4 linked regions of the Xenopus tropicalis genome follow. Each later gene encodes a partner of the first gene's protein in a complex. Links are inferred from orthologs where the notes say so. Each region holds a gene or a part of one and is shown in the gene's direction. Other genes may lie near its edges.

The links. The genes of interacting proteins can lie anywhere in the genome.
Region 2: taf3 (region 1) and taf12 share a complex: the UniProt entries of both Homo sapiens proteins name them as parts of the TFIID basal transcription factor complex. The link is inferred for Xenopus tropicalis from reciprocal best matches to the Homo sapiens genes TAF3 and TAF12.
Region 3: taf3 (region 1) and taf7 share a complex: the UniProt entries of both Homo sapiens proteins name them as parts of the TFIID basal transcription factor complex. The link is inferred for Xenopus tropicalis from reciprocal best matches to the Homo sapiens genes TAF3 and TAF7.
Region 4: taf3 (region 1) and taf8 share a complex: the UniProt entries of both Homo sapiens proteins name them as parts of the TFIID basal transcription factor complex. The link is inferred for Xenopus tropicalis from reciprocal best matches to the Homo sapiens genes TAF3 and TAF8.

Annotation. Positions count from the first base shown.
Region 1 is NC_030679.2:83,687,947-83,692,361, reverse strand, and holds part of taf3 (transcription initiation factor TFIID subunit 3), read left to right. Parts: intron 1-3,073; coding exon 3,074-3,320; intron 3,321-4,415. UniProt on the Homo sapiens protein: The TFIID basal transcription factor complex plays a major role in the initiation of RNA polymerase II (Pol II)-dependent transcription.
Region 2 is NC_030678.2:78,450,276-78,455,398, reverse strand, and holds the start of taf12 (transcription initiation factor TFIID subunit 12), read left to right. Parts: upstream 1-2,092; 5' UTR 2,093-2,115; intron 2,116-3,695; exon of another isoform or gene 3,696-3,705; coding exon of another isoform or gene 3,706-3,777; intron 3,778-5,123. UniProt on the Homo sapiens protein: The TFIID basal transcription factor complex plays a major role in the initiation of RNA polymerase II (Pol II)-dependent transcription.
Region 3 is NC_030684.2:37,691,784-37,696,676, forward strand, and holds the start of taf7 (transcription initiation factor TFIID subunit 7-like), read left to right. Parts: upstream 1-1,862; 5' UTR 1,863-1,897; intron 1,898-3,199; 5' UTR 3,200-3,242; coding exon 3,243-3,255; intron 3,256-4,550; coding exon 4,551-4,624; intron 4,625-4,893. Other genes in the region: MGC108429 protein, read right to left, coding at 1-11, 95-151, 360-498. UniProt on the Homo sapiens protein: The TFIID basal transcription factor complex plays a major role in the initiation of RNA polymerase II (Pol II)-dependent transcription.
Region 4 is NC_030678.2:70,731,693-70,736,788, reverse strand, and holds the start of taf8 (transcription initiation factor TFIID subunit 8), read left to right. Parts: upstream 1-2,065; 5' UTR 2,066-2,108; intron 2,109-4,426; 5' UTR 4,427-4,538; coding exon of another isoform or gene 4,539-4,553; intron 4,554-5,096. UniProt on the Homo sapiens protein: The TFIID basal transcription factor complex plays a major role in the initiation of RNA polymerase II (Pol II)-dependent transcription.

The DNA of each region.
Region 1 (4,415 bases):
CTTCTGCACATTTTTATGAATAAACCTAGTGTTTGCAGCAGTTAGGCCAGCGTGACCAAATCCTCCAAAAACGTAATGCTAGCAGCATGGGGCTATTGTGGGACACAGCTGTGGGCGGTGTTGGTTACTCTGCTAGAGATTGCTCATTCAACAGAAGTCTATGAAGGAGAACTCGCAGTGGAATTAAATAAGAAGGGGAAAAAATGATACTGCAGAGGGAAAAATGTTGAAGTATTTACCACTGCTTGGAAAATGTGAAACAATGGAGACTTGGCAATCCCAGGCTGTTTTTATTGCTGTGCTAATGGGCCTCCAAATGATTTTACAGTGTGGAAGTAGGTGGTTTATTGCTAAAAAAAAAAAAAAAAAATAAACCTTAAACAGCTGCATGGTTGGGTTAAAGACTGAATATAGAGAATATAGAGTGCAGAAATGCACAGCAATGGCCTTTTACCCAGTTTTTACATCCGTATTTAGGGACATCATAAATTATACATCTTCATCAGAAAAGGAATTGAGAATTACAGAAATTTATGAGTTTTACATTTTTTATTGGGGTTTATAAGCAGAGGAAAAAAAATAATAGCTACAATACAATTAAACTTACAACAAACAAAGTAAAGAAAAACAATAAAAAAGTGGTGATTCTTATTTTATCTACTGTTAAACAGTTACACATGACCCTTTGTATTTGTCAAAGTTATTTTTTTCCAGTTTAGTCTCCCCAAGATGCTAGATAGGTTTGGTTTTCCTCTTAACTTGGGAAGCAGTTTCAGGGGCACAGTAAAATATTTTGTATTTTGGCTTGTAGCGGTAGTTCCTGTAGCTGTGTGCATGTGGGTTACCACTTAGTGGCGTACTGGTCAAAGCCCAGATTCGGTAAAGGCAGCTCTGGGAGGAATAAGGAATTGTATTAAATATCCAGTTTCAGCTTTAAATTGTTCGATAAAATGGTACAATAAGAAACAGGCCACAACAGTAAGAAGTAGGTGATTTTTAGACTGTTAAAAGAAGCAGCAGGAGTTATTAATGAGGCGCAGTACAAAAGCCAAACACCACAGGAATTTAAATCTAATTACTGCATATAAATAACCAGTGTCTGATAAGAGGTTGTATACTTTCCTCTTTGACATCTGGCCTTAGTTATGCAGTATTTATTTTGCAATGGAGTATGAGTCTTAATATTCTTTAGTGCGTAACATAAATAAGGAAATTTTCATTTCCAAGGCTTAAATGATTACTTGGCACTGCCCATTTTTGACAGATCTTAAGAATAACTGAAACTGGACCCATAGCTTCAGTTAAGTTAAACTTGGATGGCTTGTTAAGGCAGGATTCTTTTATAGAGACTTGTGGCGTTCTATTCAGAATGCATGTCGTCTCTGACCAAGCTTTACATAGTGCAAAACCCTAAAGGTGGCCATACATGGGTGGATTTAAGCAGACCATTCAGGTCCTTTAGGCCTGATATCGATCTGGTGGGTTTCATTTTCCTATCCGATCAAGAACTGCGTTGGCTCATTGATGCAGTCCTCCACCAAGGCCCTTTGTGATCTGTTTATTTAGCTTGCAGGGCTTTATGGTTTTAATCACAGTTCATGGGCATCTTGTAGTTCTTTGCACAGGTATGGGATCTATTCTCTAAAATATCTGGGATCTGGGGTTTTCCAGCTAAGAATTGTTTTATGTAATTTGGATGATCATAAGTCTGATAAATAAAAATAGATAAACCCAGAGGGTTGTTTTGCAGCCAATATGGGTTTATGTAGCTTAGTTCGTATCATGTACAAGGTAGTGTTTTATTATTACAGAGAAAATGTCAATCATTTTTTAAAAATGTAAAATATTTGCCAGATGGACACAGTGGGAGAAGGTCTTCCCATATTTTGGAGTTTACTTTGATATCAGTTTTTTGGCTAAGTGATTCCATAGCTATTCCATGGATAGTGGGAAGCCACCCACGTTGATTTTTGGAATATGGTAATCTTCAGGGAGAAAAACTGATTAAATATGTATAATGCAGGAGACTGAGTATCTTGCCCTAGACAAATTGGGTGCCTGGGTGAAAAAACTAACAATTGATTGGTTGCTGAGGTGCAAAAACCCCAGTGTTCATAAATGAACCCTTGTGTGAAAGAATCATAGCATTAAAGAACAAGGAAACCCTAGTTCACTTGGGGATATCAATACCCCCCCCCTCCCTTGTGGACCCCCCAAAACCAACCCGACCTGTCACTTCATTATTTATATACATGTGCTCAATACTTCAATCTCCAATATAACTGGAGGGGTTGGGCTGGCACAAGTATATAAATAAGCAACGGCCATCCAAATGAGGGGAAATCAAAGTAAGCTGTACGAGCAGTGTGAAGCCAAAAACAAAATTTGACCACCACCTGCCTGCAAAATTCTCATATATATTAAAATCTATTTAAATGATAAAAACAAAAGCATAATAACTTTTCACTCTTCATTTGTCTCTTTTCCAAGGACCATTCAGCAGCCATGCCTTTGGTGGAGCAGGACTTTCTTTGAACTAAAAGCAGCACTAAAGCTAAAAGTAGATATGTGCCCTTTAGCTGCTAGAACAAACATGTTTTTCACACCGTTTAGTCCATTTTTAAGCAGTGTGTATAGCAGGACTTATTCTGCTCTTGGAGGCTTTCAGTGCTGTCCTATACCAACAAATGAATTTGACTCTTCCTTGTTACTAAAGGTGTAACTTATTTCTCTCCATTTTCATAAAATAATTCAAAATTCAACATATTTCCTTTTTCTCTGTAATAATAAAGATATAATTAATCCTTATTAGAAGCAAAACAATCCTATTGGGTTTATTTATTTAATATTTGAATAATTTTTTGCATAACAGGCCTCATACCTGTACATATTAATTAACTTACTGTTTCTTAAAAACTTGCCGGTAATGGGAATTGTAACCAGTCTGGTAAAGACAGGATATCTAATCATCTGGCATTATACATATAAACGTAATTGTTGTAGGAATCTATGAAAACTGGATGTACATTGACGCAAACGTATACATTTAATGTTTTTTTTTTTCTCTTTAAAGTGTTATCAGCAAAGTCGTATCTGCTCCAGAGTCTAAAGCAGCCCCTCCACCATCGTTGCCCAAATCTCCACCTCCAACACCTTCTCCAGCTCCAGCACCTATTCTTGTTGTCCCCCCTCAAGCTCCACCAGCTCCAGCAGCTGCATCACCAGCTCCAACTCCAGCCCCTTCTGCACTCACTTCAAATGCTGGTTCCTCTAAAACCCCTGTCCGAAGTGTTGTGACAGAAACAGTCAGTACCTATGTGGTGAGTACTCACCTTTTTGTTTTTCTTTTACATGCCTGTAGTATAAGGTACACATAATAAGCTGTAACCCTTTAATTGGATCAGTTTGGTATTCACAGCCATAGTTTCATAAATTACATGGTTAGGTGAAGGGGTTTTTCTCAGTCTCTTGAACAACTACAGACAGTTTAAACAATTTTGATATTAATGCTTTTGATATTTTATCCTTACATGAACCCCTATGTATATGAGTAATCGCATTACTTCCTGGATCAATAACCTTGGGTTCGATCAAAATCCCACCTAACTTATTGAGACTGTTCAGCTATAGGCATATATTGATATTGCCTTTTAATACATTTTTATATTCCCAACCTACTCGGATTTCCTTGAATGACATCCTTAATTTAATAAAACCAAGTTCACAGAGCTTACCATTCAAGTGAATAGCAAGTGATCAGGGAGTAGGTAGTGGAGTTGTATTAACCACCCCATGTGGTATAGCCTTTATAAAGTCCTTTGAAAACACAGGAAAAGAATATGATGACTTCATTGACTTTATTCTAAAGACCCCCTTCATTTGCCGGTGGTTATATATGACCCATGGCTGTTTAATGTACAGTATAACATTTATCAGAAAAATGTTAAATGGTTTGGACCCCCTGCTGCTTTACTCAGAGAATTTCCTTGTAATATTTCTGTGTGTTTTTTTTTTTAAGCAACGATGTTAGTAGTTCATGAACTTTTGAGTTTCAAAATTGCTGCTTTTCCTGTTAAATTTCACTTATCCTTTAATTCAAATTGTTAGATGTCATAAAGTAAACGGAAAGTTACTGAGTAACAACTTTTTATATCCCTGATCTTATCAGCAAATTGAATAGAACCATTTGGCTAATAAGTAAAAATGCTAATAAGGAACAGTTTCCTATAGTGCCAGCACAAAGCATACTTATCTTGTTCTCTGCTTGTAATGCCGAACTATAAAGTAGGAATGCAACGATTTGTACATGTACAGAACAATCCTGAATTAATATATTTACTTTGCTAAAGAGCTGTGAGATCTAAACATAAGTTAAATTAAAGGATCGCTTCCAAGCCTCAAAATTCTTAGTTCAG
Region 2 (5,123 bases), on another chromosome or scaffold:
ACCAGATTCAGGCTTAGTTATCACTAGCCCATATCCATACCCATGGCCCTTTAGTCCGAAATGTCTTCAAAGGCTCAAAACATCATAGGAAAAAGGAGACTCAATTGATCACAGGCAGGAATGTGGAAATACCCACTCCTGTATACTTTCCCACTAAGCAGCTGTTCACATACTGTGCATACATGGGAATAGAGCAGGGGGCTATTTTAGCACAAGGCTAGGACCATGGGTATGCCCACACCTGCATTTCTTCCCAATAGGTGAAAGTTTGATTACTTTACTTATTGGGGCATCAGGTAAAATCTTCTCCATTACCTGGGAATCATCCCTCTATGTATACACAGAGGTAAAAAATAAAATAAATAAATAAATGACAAAAACAAAAGAAAAATCAAACTGTGAAATCACAAAATGGTGAGGAGGGAGATCCTACCTCCTGTTCAGTAGGACAAAAAATAACAGTGGTGAGGAGGAAGTCACATGGTCTTATAGGTAAGGGCTAATTTTGATTGGCTTTGGTATATAGGTCCTACCTCCTAGCTATGGGGGCAATACTGCCCCTGCGTACTGACATGGAAGGGACGAAGAAGAAAGTAGGGTTGCCACCTGGCTGCTATTTTACCTGCCTGGCCGGTAAAAATTATGCTTGATCCCAATGTTATTAATATGAAAAAAAAGATAAAAATATCGGAAGCCCAGTATTTTTTCTCATAAAAGGTGGCAACCCTAAACGCAAGAAAAGTTTACAGATGAACACAGGGCAAAAGACCTGTGATATAGGCATATACTTAAGGAGTTAGCAGCTAGCCTGGGCAATAATTAAACCAAAAGGTGTTATTTAAACCCAAAACTCCCATCAAATTCTGTGTTTTGGCGTCCAGACAAGGTTGTATTTTTTGTGTGTGCGTACGTGCTTGCGTCAAGTGGACGGAGAAGGAGAAGGAGAGGGGGAGGTGCGGCACTTTTCTGTGTGAATAACAGTACCGCCGTCCCTGGAGCTGTGCGCTACGCACTAAGTCATCTATATTGATTAAAGTATCTTTCTAATGTGTGAAATGTTTTCACCTTCAATTACTTCTACTTTTGTTAGACATTATTTAAGGTAATGTTGAATAAGATTGCCTGTGACTTTTTTACCAGGACTCCTGGTGCTTTGCATGAAAAGGAAGGGGGTGGAGTTTTGGCCATTCTGTGTGTTCTCTCGCAGCAACTGGCTAATCATGTGAATTATACTCTCATCTCTCTCTCAGCCTCTCATCTTCGAAACAGCTAAAAAAGGAGCGAGTGAGAGATTTTGAGTACTTAACCCGGCTTTGTTATTTGTTTATTGTAGGCATGTGGCAGTATTACATACATTGATACTCTTAAATAAAAAAAAGTATCAGTCCTCTGCGTGATCACTAGGCGTTGCCGGGAAAATAACCCTGCGGAACACAGTGTATTAATTAATACGCTTCAATATGCTTATTCCTGCTGATACATCCTCATTTTCTCTGTTTTTGAACTTAATTATTGGGCGCCCAGACCATCGATCTCTAGCAGCCCAGTTTACAAAAATTATGCTTTCGAAATCTCTTGATATCGATTCCGCACTGCAGTCCTCCACAAGGGAGACCCGCAATGTGCCATACACGGCACAAGCCCTTTTTAACTATCATCTGGTTTCTGCAACCTCCAGGGGCAGCATAACCCTTACACAACATATGGCGACAAAGTTTCGGTTAGGGAAATATCTATAATTGTATATGAGTGCTAGATCGGGATACACTAAATATAAGATAATTCACTTTCATAAATACAACAAACAGTATTTTACATTTTAATTTTATTGCCAAGCGAGGGCCATATGCAAATTATGCTAAATAGAAGGGATGATGGGACTGCCAATTCCCGTCCACAGCTACATTTAAAATCGCGAGAAAAGGTGCAATTTTTGTTTAGGTCGGCGTATTGGGAGCCATGTTTTTCGGTTTTCTGCGCATATTCTGAGTTTTGGATTGTTCCCGTTAAATAAAGTGTGGGGGGGAAGAAGAATTTGCGCATGAGCGGAAAGAATGTGTGATGTAACGTCCGCCAACAGGGAGAGAGACAGCAGAACTTAAAGCGCAGAGATTGGTATGTGGACTCCGTGATTATATTGTCGCTTTATCAGGTTTTCCTTGCGAGAATCGGGACGTATGGGATTCCCGGGTATCTCACTTTGGTGTCCCTACTCTCCCGGCAAAGCAGTGCAGCAAGTGCTAGTGCGCAGCAGGTTGTACGTAACGTACCGTGCCAATCATCTCACTCATGTGTGAGACTCACACACGGTATTATGTATTTAGGTATATTGGAACATATATACATACACACAGGAGGGTTACAATTTCAACTTGTTAGAATCCAGTTCGTTGCAACTTTCAGATATACGTTAAACAATTTCAGTGGTGTATAAATCGCTTTCAGACTGGCTCGCTGGTTATATGTATGTATGTATGTATAACTTTATTTATTAAGCGCCACAAGGGTATGCAGCGCTGTACAGTCTTACAGAATACACAATTACACACAGGGAGGACAAGTGATATAATAAATAAATACAATAAATACATATATGTATATATATATATATAAGTGCCATGTGGTATGAGACACAGTAGGAAGGAGATCCCTACCCCATAGAGCTTACAATCTAAGTGGTTGGGTAACATACAGGCACAAACTGGAAGGTAAGAGTGCACCAGGTATGGGCATCTTCTGTTCACTGGTGCGGAATCCTGAAACAATGTATTAGAAGTTAGTTGAACTGAAATGGGACTTGCTGGCTACATTGTTTCAGGAGTCTCTTCTGTTCTGAATATTTTTTTTCCTGCATTGCTTTAATGTGTAATGGGGATAGGTTACACTACATATAGCAAAAGGCAGAAATCGGTAACAAAAACAATATGCCAGTTGTTTGGTTTTTCCTTAAAGGAGACATATCCTATAAAAATGATGAATGTTCCAGTGAATTATACTCCTCTAGATATAGAAGGATTGTGCTTAAAAATGTTGTGTTTCAGACTGATTTATTGAGAAATTCCACCAAAACCCCACTAGTCCCGCCCATCTGTTCCACTTCCTGCTGGCTGAATTCTCTGGATGAGCTGGGGAGCCGCCCTCAGTACCCTGCACTGTAGGACAGGAACCAATCAGCAGCTAGGCTGACCTGATAGGGAACTGAAGCCTGTCTGTGCTTGTGTGAGGGCAGGGCTGTGATTGGCTCTCCCCCTCCTACTGTGCTTCTGGCAGGGACTGTTAGGACACGCCCACTCTCCATTTCACACTGGACAGAGAAGTGATAGGATCTATAGGGAGCTCCAATAAAGGGGCCATTGTTACAGATAGGGTTAATGTTTAGCCCAAAGGGAAACCAGCACCGTATATTATTCATAATTGCCTACAAAATAAGTGTTTTTCCCCATTTATCCAATATGTCTCCTTTAAAATTTTTGTATAATAACATACCGGTTAGGAGCATTGTCTTGCCTATAAAATTACATCAATATTACACTCTCTAAATAGATGAGAAGAAAGTAAGCTTACCTTGGATCATTTTTGAGTTATAGCTAGTAACTTGGTGAAATGTCATCGTTACTAACCCAGTCCACCTCAGTCTGTGATATATACTAATAACCTTATACAATGTGCCCAACTGATGCTGTTATTGTCTGCAGAAGGCCGGTGATGATGACGTGTGTGCTCAGCGGTTCCACCGCCGTGTGCGATGTCATTACAGAGCTAGATACTCAACTGGCTGTAAGTAAATAGTGTGTTAGCATGAGCCACTGTATAGTGATACAAAGTATCTCTGTACCATACAGCCTTATTAACCAACTTCTGCGCCGTTCATTAATGTGTGTGTGTGTACAGTACTGTATGTGCTGGTATTTAATGTATTCCCAATGAAAATCTATTCACTGGGACTCAATTAACACTGTAAATATTGAAGCTAACAGCTAAAAAATTGCTATGAGCTATTGTATTGAGGCAAATTTACAAAGTGTTGGTAAATATGCCCCTATGCCCTTTATGGTGTTTCTTCCTGACTATACTTTGCATTGGATAGTCAGGCAGAGTAGGTAAATAATAGGACTAGGTTACAGGGTCAGACTGGCTCACCATGCTACTGGAAAAAAAAAACAGTGGGCCCCCCAACCCTGTTGGGCCCTGCCACCTGAACGCCATCTTTTATTTTTTCACAGCAAGTAAGCAGCAGAGTGGGCCACTGCTTACTTGCTGTGAAAAAATAAACTTGGCGGTGTGCGTTCTAAAGTTGAGCCTATAACAGTAAGTAAGTAAAGCAGGAGTAGCTGTGGGCGAAGCAGCTGTGGGCTCCTGAGTTGGTTACCCAGTGGGCCCAGGGTTACCCAATCCAACACAGGTGTGCTTTATAGGTAGCAAAAGAGCAACAAGCTACCTAATAATTGCTTTCTACACTGGATATGACAGGTTTTTGCTTAGGGTTGTCAGTATGTTTTTATTTAGCAGACCGATTACTTTATTTGCAATAGCGGAAAAGTGAAAATAAAGCCCACATTCTTAAAGGAATAATGTCATGGGAAAACATGTTTTTTTAAAAAGCATCAGTTAATAGAGCTTCTTGAAAAGAATCCTGTATTGAAATCTGTTTTTCAGAAACCCAAACACATTTTTGTTTATATTTACATTTGAAATTTCACATGGGGCTAGCCATATTCTTCATTTCCCAGGGTGCCACAGCCATGTGACCAGTGCTCTGATAAACCTCAGTCACACTTTACTGCTGCTCTGCAAGTTGGAGTGATATCACCCCCCTCCCACCAGCAGCTGATCAGAAGAACAATGGGAAGGTAGCAAGATATCAGCTCCCAATAGATATCAGGATAGCGCTGGCTTGGGACTCCTACAGTTACATGGGAGTAGGAGAAACAATAGGTTACCTGAAAGCAGTTCTAATGTGTAGCGCTGGCTCCTTCTGAAAGCTCAGACTCGGGCACAATACACAGAGATGGCACCTACACACCAATATTAGAATTTAAAAAAATACATTTGTTGGTTCAAGAATAAAATGTTAATGGTAGAGTCAATTATTATATGTAAACAGTGTACTTTAGAAATAAAAA
Region 3 (4,893 bases), on another chromosome or scaffold:
ACCCAGTCCCACTACAAAACAACAGATAATAAAGGATAGGTCAGGTGAGTGCAATATCAGAGGTGTGCTAAATGAATTCTGAAAATATACTCACTTGACAAGAGACCAGCCCACCACAGCCACTCCTTGAGGTAAGCATGCCCTCCATGTCCTGCCAGGCAGAGACAGAATTATTTACTTAGAGTATCCTGATATAAAAGGTTATATCGCCATCACTTTTCAGTTTCCTACAAAACTGTTAGCAAAGGAAAGCTTCTGGTTATGTACTAAAAAACACTGCAGGCTGAACTTGTAGGCAGGGGGAAATAAGATATAAAATCAGTGATAAAGGCAATGGTGGAGTACCTGGCAATTCTCACCTGCCCTGAGTTGTCCTCGACTGCAGAGTTTGAGGAGACCCTTCTTTTTCAGAATAAAGCTGCTCCCAATGAAAATGCTGGAGGAAAGAGCTAGAGCCAGTCCAATGTAGAAGTCATAGCGGTTTCCAGTAGTCTCCATATGAACCTGTCAAACATAAATCGTTACTTTTTCCTAGCGAGTACCACTGGGTTTCCAGCAGCAAATTCTCCTTCCAATTATGGGCACTGCCCAAATAAATCAAGTATAATGTTTCGATCAAGCTTCAGCAAGTCAGTGTGAATACACACTATTGTCAATGTGTCTACCCTGCATTGGAAAAGAATTTTATAGCACGGCTTATTTTAGATTTTAGGTAAATATGAATATCTGCTTTTATTTTATCCCAAGAGCTGACATTCATGTATGCCTGTAAGTATATCCATACAGTGCCACAAATAAGTAAAGCATTTTGCAGAAGGAACAGTTCCATTTTATATATAACATTTAAATTCAAACTTTATATATAAATACAGTAAGTTTCTGTAAGTCCCCTCTGGAGAAGCTTACGGTGCCACCCTTCCTACCATGACAGCATGCCATTGTAACTTTAATAAGTAAGGAGACGTATCACTTCCTGGTATAAATGAGCGATAACTGACTAGTGTACTTGCTCTCACTCCCAATAGTTAGTATTTCTAACACTACAGGATTCTAATGCTCCTGCCCATAAGACTTACAGTGCTGATGAACCATAATAAAGCAGAAGCTACCAATGGCAATTTTATTAATACTCAGATTGTAAGCTCTATGGGGCAGGGACCTCCTTCCTACTGTGTCTCATACCACATGGCACTTATAATAAATAAATACATATATGTATATATATATATATATATATATCACTCGTCCTCCCTGTGTGTAATTTTGTATTCTGTAAGACTGTACAGCGCTGAGTACCCTTGTGGCGCTTTATAAATATAGTTGTACATACATACATTAACACGTATGAGACCCTAATGTCTGCCACTTAGCTCCCAGCATGCACAGCGGCACTTACTCCTCTCACTTACAGGGTGCAGGGAGAAACCCACCGCTTAGCAGAGCCGCCCGTTCCACAGTACACACTCTCCGGGGACTGACCCTACCACCCCTATCGGTAACACATACATAGCATCACTTGCTACTCTCATTTCTATTTCGAGCTTCCGTATTCTCTGCAATCATTTGTGAGAGACTTTGGCTGGGTACCCAATTGGTTAGCGAACTCCAAGTACGGTGTCCATTTCAGGACATACATTGTCCAAATTCAAGTGCAAAATTAATACTAGAAGGGGGAGGCGCAATTCAGAGATTTTGGAGGTGGGAGAAAGCAGGACGCACTTGGATTTTTAGATAATTGACCTATAATGGACACCGTAGTCCTGGGCAGTGTGAACCAATCAGAAGGCAAAGGAGTCCGGCTCTATTCCACATACTTCCGGTATCTGGTGCTCTGTGGGCTAGGAATTTCCCATAGGTGTAACTTCACAATGAATTAGAGAGCAGCGGGTCTCCTCCGGTAAGTAGAATACCTGTAGTTCGTCGAGGTGATGGGCCGAGTCTTCGCCGGGGGTTACTGGGAGTTGTTCTTAACCCACAGATGGGAATTCGAAGAACAAATTAGTTTATTATACTCAGTGCCGGTGTGGGCTATAGAGACTGTAGTGCTCCTTATAACGCTGCATAGCTACAAGAAGCAAGCTTTAGCTTTATAGGTGGCAGTCATTTCCAGGGACTGCAACACTAGTCCCCACCGCACTCAGACTGTAAGCTCTGCAGGGCAGAGACCGCCTTCCTTCTGTCTCTCTTACCAGTGACACAGTTATGTATTTTTATACTTATTTATTGCAGTGTTTGTTCTCCCTGTTTACACTTTTCTGTATTGTATAATTGTGCAGCTCTGCATATTCTAGTATGTATGTATGTATATCTTTATTTATAAAGCGCTACTTATGTACGCAGCGCTGTACAGGAGAATACATTAATACAAACGGGCTTATTAAGATAAATACAAAGTCTAACAATAAATATAAATTAATACAAGATACAGTTGCAATAAATTAAAGGAGAAGGAAAGGCTAAGTCACTTGGGGGTGCCAAAATGTTAGGCACCCCCAAGTGACTTAAATAGCTTACCTTGTGCCCCTGTTAGGAGAACACTGCACCAGCCCGGGGTACCTGTAGCGAGCGCTTCCTTCTTCCGTGTTTTTTCTGCGGTGAAATCCCTTGGCCGGCGCATGCGCATTAGAGTGAAAAGCCAACTTTGTTGTTACAGTTCAGCTTTTCACTCTACTGCGCATGCGCAAGCGCGCCAACGCGGGAGAAGGATGCACTCGCTGCTACCCCGTGCTGGTGCTGTTCTCCCTAACGGGCACCAGCCTGGGGTACAAGGTAAGCGATTTAAGTCACTTGGGGGTGCCTAACATTTTGGCACCCCAAGTGACTTAGGATTTCCTTCTCCTTTAAGAGTCAAAGACACAAGAGGATGGAGGTCCCTGCCCCGTAGAGCTTACAGTCGTACAGTAGTAGTACTTTAAAGCTGGTCTGTATGCCACTCCTTTAATGGCTTTGGTTGTAATAGAGAAATTGCGTGTAAGAATTCCTCTTTTAACAACTAAAATTTGTGGAGCAGATTGTCAAAACTGATTCCCACTCACAAGCTCACTAAAATATCTGTGTGCAGCCAGTCTTTTAAAAAGAAAAAAAAAAGGCTTAAACGTTCTGGGGACCTACTGTAGTCATAACAATGGTCTGTCGTTAGAATTTATGGACGATTGGCCAAGTGCAAGATTTAATCTCATGGTTTTTTTTCCACCCACAGATTTCTTTGCCCCCTACTACTGACTTCTCCTGACAGATTGGCCATGACTTCCACAAGTAATATAAATGTTGTTTAAGCGACTGCTAACTTTTTTCTTTACACTATAGTAAAAATACAAATGAATACCTTCTGTATACATTAAATCCTGTATTATATTAAACAACCTTGAAGTGCTTAAAGGGCACCTATTGCAAAAATTACATTTTAATACAGGCTGCATCATATTGAAATAAGAAGATCTCTAGATGTAATCAATTAAAAACTTCTGTACTGTGTCTGAAATAATCAATTTACTCTCCCAGCATCTGTCTCTCTTCATTCTCTCTTTATTCTCTCTCTCTTTATTCTCTCTCTTTATACACTTATTAGGATTCTGATTTTGATTGACAGTTAAGTCTTGTACAGCATTTGGGGGGGGGGGGGGGGGGTAGGTGATCCTTTTGCCTAAAATATGTATTAGAGCTCACTCAAAAATCCTGCCTCTCTACGTCCAGAGAATAAAGACAGGTAGATGCTGAGTGGGAGACAATGAAGAGTAACTTAGTTATTTCAAAAATGGTACAGAATTTTTATTATATTTAGAAAGTTTCTTCCCCATTGTAGGAGAACAACAGATTCTTGTATCTCCAGAAAAGGAAGAAATTTTGGATACACACGTTACAGACTCTTCACTCTAGGGGATTAAAATAAGAGTATAATCTATATGCATTTATTTAATAATATGTGAAAGTAGACTACACTACTGATTTTTGGCTGATTTTTGTATTACACTAGGAATACCAATGATTCTTATTTAATGTATACCTACTGTATGGGATTGCAGCACATTGCATAACATGTACCTTTAAGAGGGGAGCTTTAGGTAGACACTAACAAATGTGTTGTCATTTACTTTTTTGTTTGATAAAGGGGCAGGTTCCATGAAACTTTATTTTTTTTTATTTTTACAATAAAAGCTTTGATTTTCACCAATATTTAGACTTTTTTGTTTATTATAACTTAAGTCTGGTGATTGGCACATTTCTACACTCGGGTTAAGCTAATGTATTCACTGGGGTTGCCTAACACACCATCTCTTAAAAATTTCTATTTCTTAGTCTTTTAATTTATTACTAGTAATATATCCTTTAACATATAGAGACAATGTAATGTGCAGAAATACATGCACTTGTATACTTTCATACCATATTAACAGGAAAATAAACATAATTTTCTTGTATATATGTGCGCTATCTAGAAAAGTGAAAGAGCTGGTAAATATTAATTTCTTTACTTTTCAACACTTCCTCTATATGAGTCCTACTGCCTACAAGGCCAACTGACTTCTGAGTTTTACATATTCCTTCCATAGAACAAAAGACATCAAGGAGCAAAGATGATGCCCCACACGAACTAGAGAGCCAGTTTATCCTGCGACTCCCACAGGTGAGTATGACACCTATCCGAGCAAGGAATCCTATGTAGAGCTGCTTCCATTGCTCCTCCTAAATGATTGCATGGTACTTTTAATGATGATTGTGATTAAAATTACTTTTCTTAAACTCTTAATTTGACAATAGGCTTCATTAGTGCCACATTAAATGCATTGGAAAGTTTAGGGATGGCACACAGTAAATCTGTGCTCTCTTGAGTGGTGTATGTGTGCACTTGACAAAGGTCTGTAGGATGAAAAAATCTCTCGTGTTGAGTCAGCA
Region 4 (5,096 bases), on another chromosome or scaffold:
ACATGGTGTGGGTTGTCTCTGAAGAAGAGTACAGTCAGTACTCGAAACGTTGGATTTTTTCAAATACATTTTTTCACTAATCGCTAAGTCCTTGTGCGTGCGACTCTCTGTCCTTATATATATATATATATATCAGTATTAGTGATGAGCGAATCTGTCCCGTTTCGCTTCGCCATAAAATTAGCTAAACGACAAGAAAATACATGAAACGGCAAAAAATTCACGAAACGCATTTTTCGCAATTTTTTTTGTCGAAGGGTTAACATATGTATGCACAATTCTAAGAAGGACTCTGTATGTGCTACTTCAGTTGTTACGATTACCCTGACCATCCTGTCTCTGTGCAAGTTATTTTGTCCTTGTTGATCTCAGCAAATGCTCAAGGCTAACAAACCAAAATAAGCTTCAGCAGCTACTTTAATGAGTTCCTGTTTTCTGCTAATAACTGCAAGGCATATGTGCCCACCCATGTTACGTAAGCATAATGGAATATCTTTATCTACATGTATATAATCTGCGGCAAAACCATCAATAAACTAGATTTGTTAGGAGATTCACTACTTGTCTGTGTCTCTCTGTGCAAGTTCCCGGATCCGTATCACATGACAGTGTACCAACAAGAGAGTCCAGAGTCCCAATAATTGGTAAAACCCTAACAGTCGCCCCCGCGTCTATTTTTTGTCGCCCACGCTTTTTTACGCGACCATGGGCAATTTTGATGCGCCTGCTCCCTTTTTTGTTGTAACAATGCCCAATTTGACGCACAAAAAAAAATTCTGCGCAACAAATTTTTCTGCAGTGAATTTTCACGGAAGTTTTGCAAAACAATTTGCCAATTGCCAAATTCGCTGGGAATCCACGTCTAGCGAAAACATTTGTTCATCACTAATCAGTATACATATGTGTATCATACACAACAAAAATGCATTTCAACCAATTTTTCTTTGGTTTATAACAGAGCAATGCTGGGATTGTATATAGTCTATCAAATAAGAGAATGTCTATGTATTTCAGAGAGCTATTATATGCCACACTAGTGCAAGAAGGACTTGAGGATTGAGTTATAGTTGAACCCAACCATGATGCTGGATACAGCTGTGCTCAGCATGATGTTTGGGTTAAAATGTAACTCACTAGAGTTATTGTATCTAGATTCTGCATGTCATTTATAATGGAGGGTGTATGCTGCTACTGAAAAATACCCTACAGCGAATGCAGGGACTTATACTGTGGCAAACTGGGTCAATATAGAAGGCTGTCATGGTAACCTGCTAATAGTCTCACAGTGTTTTTCAGCTGACTTGTTGCTAATATGTGTTATATACCAACATCACTATTGTCACAAGCAATATGTAGTTAAAACCATATCTATTTCATATCCATGTAGAAAAGTTTAAAAAGTACTTCACATGAAAAGGCCCTCACCAGTTGTTTGCTATTAGTACCATTCATGCACGATAAATAAATTTCTGCTCACTGCATGATAAACATTTTATTTACAGCACAAATTATTTACAGCAATTTTCCACTTCTGCTTTCGTGGGTTAAGTAAAGTGCTTTTGTAACTTTCCTATGATCCCTGTAATTATAACAAGCCAGCCGAAAGACGTCCTTAGACTAACGTTAAAAAATGGTCTGACAACCAAACACGTTAGTTCGTGAGGCATTTGTAAGCTGAGGGGATCTTATAACCTTATAATACATGTTCGCAAAAGTGTCCACATGAGGCTTAAGGGTAGATGACTTTTGACATGTATTTAGATGATTTAGGCGCCCCTTAGATACTTACGATGTAATATTTGTAGAATTTGTGTGCGCAACTGAGGTTTTAGGTATGTTATAGACGACAGGAAGCGAAGCTCCTGGCGATTGTATTGATCGGCGATGTCACGTGATCGGCGATTACGTTTAACGTTAATGCGTACGCGACGACGTCGCATACGCATGAAGACAGAAAGGAAAGCGCAGGGCAACAATCGCCGTGCCTTCGGATTGGATGACTCCTTTTGTTATTTTTTTTCTTTTTAATGGCGATATTTACATGGTAGCGCTGAAAAGAAAAGGGAAGATGGCTGCCCTGTGGAACTTTATTTGATACGCTCGTAATGGTAATGCGAGTAAACGTTTGAAATGTTTTTATACCAGTTTAGGGGCTTTTTACAATAAAGACACTGTGGCGGATTTATTTTAAGTTTAATGGGTGGATATGTTAAATGTATAAACATACAATAAACTGTCTGATGATGTATTAACTAGTAGAGCCTTCAGAATTATGTTATTAATTTAGAGCTTCAGAGATCGGCATGGAATATGGCTTAAATACGTCACATATGTGCCACCAAACAAGTAAAAATGACCAAAAACCACACAAGTAATTCCATTCCCCTATCTTCTGCCATTTGTCTCCTCTCTGGCTCGCCGAAGGCACATTCTAATGCAACAAATCTCCATGCAAAAGTCAAGTAGCTAGTCACTAGTGGGCAGATCTAGATGGGGGGCTGCTTCAGTGTCACGAACATTTGGTCCATTTCTCTGCTGCACTGTCTAGTTTGCCTCCTCTGCCAGTGCTGCATGGAAATAACAAGCACAATGTTCCTACGAATTTTTTTGGGGGGAATGTCCCTTAAGCTTTCTATGTGACCTTTCACTGCTACATTACATGGAACGTATGATATATGCAATTTGCAAACAATGCCAATTGGATATTGTACTTATCTGCTTTAATTTAGGATTTTTCCATTTCCCCTAAAATGGATAGGGGAGCTATGATAGCTTTACTATCTCATTCCCTGTTGTATGATCTCAGTCCACGTTGTCTTTAATAAAGTTTCTATTTATTTTTTAAATGCAGCATGCAGAGGCTCTACTTTGTTTGGAATTTAGGATTGGTTCATCTCTTCTGGCTTGGGTACAAAGGAACACTTTATAATATCTTGTTTACTATCTGTACTGCAATTAAATTTTGCATAATAAAACTGAAAACATTCAGATACCAGTTAGATTTCAGTGTATGTAAGTATGTATATAGGTATGGGAAACCTTATCTGGAAAGTTATGTAGTCAGCACCAAATTACGTACTTGATCCCAGCTAAGATATCCTTATTGGAGGTAAAACAAACCTATTGGGTTTATTTCATGTCTAAATTATTTTTTAGTAAGCTTAAGGTATAGCGGTCCAAATTAAGCAAAGACCCCTTGTCCATAAAACACCAGACCGAGCATTCTGGATAACAGGTTCCATAGCTGTAATTAAAAAAACATATGATCTTTCTCTATAATAAAAACTTGTACTAGACCGTTACTTGTATACATAACTAAGCTACATAAATCCATATTTATGGAAAACAATGGAAGTATGCAGTCTTAGGAGTATAGTTGTACAGCTCTGAGGCAGGGAGCCAAGTCTAGACCAAACTCTGTGAGTCCCATTCAGGAGGCCCTGGGATATGATATGTAGTCATAAAGTATCATAATGTATGTCACTCAACTTTGCTTATTCACATGTGAAGTATGACAATGGTAATGTCTTGGAAGGTCTCAGTTGCTGCAGAAAGAGGCAGTTCACTAACTCAAGCAACCAAAAAAATTTGTTGTGTGAGGTTAAAATTTTCTAAACCTTAAAAATATGACCAATAGCAAATTAGCTCGGAATGTTGCTTAAGTCATACTAAAAGTTAATATAAACTGCTTTAATGGAGAAGGCAAGTGCTCCCTTTGGATCAAGATGGTGGTCCTGCGGTTCTTGTGTGCAAAAGGGTATGCCCGTTTGTAACAAATGTTCTTGTGTTGTGTATTTTATAGGAGTTACTGATCAGTAAAGAAAGCTGTTCCTTTAATCATCCCATTTTTGATTTAAGGCCCCTGGTTGTCTTCAGCCATACCTTTCAATGTATGCCAATTGTACTGGTTTATGCTTTTGCTGTTATTAATGGAGTTTTGACTATGCCAATGTAACCTTGCAAAATCTGTATTATACTCCCAAACTTTGTGCTATTAAATATTTTTGCTTAGTTTGGTATAACATATCTAATATTTATTGAAATGTGTTTAAACTAAAATATTCAATGGCCCAGTTTTATATATAATATTTTTTTGTTGCACTTTACACCAACTTTTCTATTTCCAAGTTTTCTATTGTATTGAAATGTTACTCCCATTCTCCAAGCACAATCACATCAAGAACGTTTGTGTGGGGGCAACAATAATAAAAAAGGGCATATGTATTTTTTACATTAACAAGCTTATCTGTCAGTAAATTTACATTTTCTGTCCACCTCTTTCTGCATGGAGTTGGGCTGTTAGTTGGTATTTTTCAGGTCTTTCTCTGGCCTGTTTGTAGGTCTCAGCTGGCTGCTAACATTTTGTGTGTTTGAGGTGTTTTAGAACATGTCATTAACATGTCATTTTTGTCTCTAATTTACTTAGGTACAAAGGGAAAAGTTTTTGTTCCAGCTCTTTTAGAAATCAAGCTGCAGTCAAAAAGACTGTCTCCTGTACTGAGGTGCTAGAAGTTGTATATAATACAGAAACGCTTTTTATGTTTCCTACAATTGTAAGTGCAATTTGTGTTTAATAAAGTTTGTTATTTTAAATACTGCACGTGCAGGCGCTACTTAATGTTTGTAATTTAGGATTTTTTAATCTCTTTTACCATGGGTAACCAAGGAACACTGTATAATGATTTTATCTCCTATCTGTGCTGCAAATAATTTTTGCATAATAAAATCTCAAAATATTTAGCTACCAGTTAAATTTCATTGTATGTTGTTATGCCAGCAGAAAGCCCCCCAGTTATGGAAAGGCCATCTCCCATTTTAAGCCAATAATTTTATTTTTTTATATCTGATTTTTCTTTGTTATAATATAACGGTAATGTGTACTGTCTACAGGCTACGGCATTGAAGTATCCTGGGATTTAGAAGAAGGGAATAATTGTGCAAAAATTATATGCATTTTTATATACCGGTACATCTACAGTAGGGTTGTATAAGCGGGTCAAGCCCTGATAACAGCCTATGATGCAGTAATATTCTAGTCTCCTGTTAAGAGAAAGGGAACCCTAGGACTTTAGGTAGAAAGATGCCTGTATCTTCTT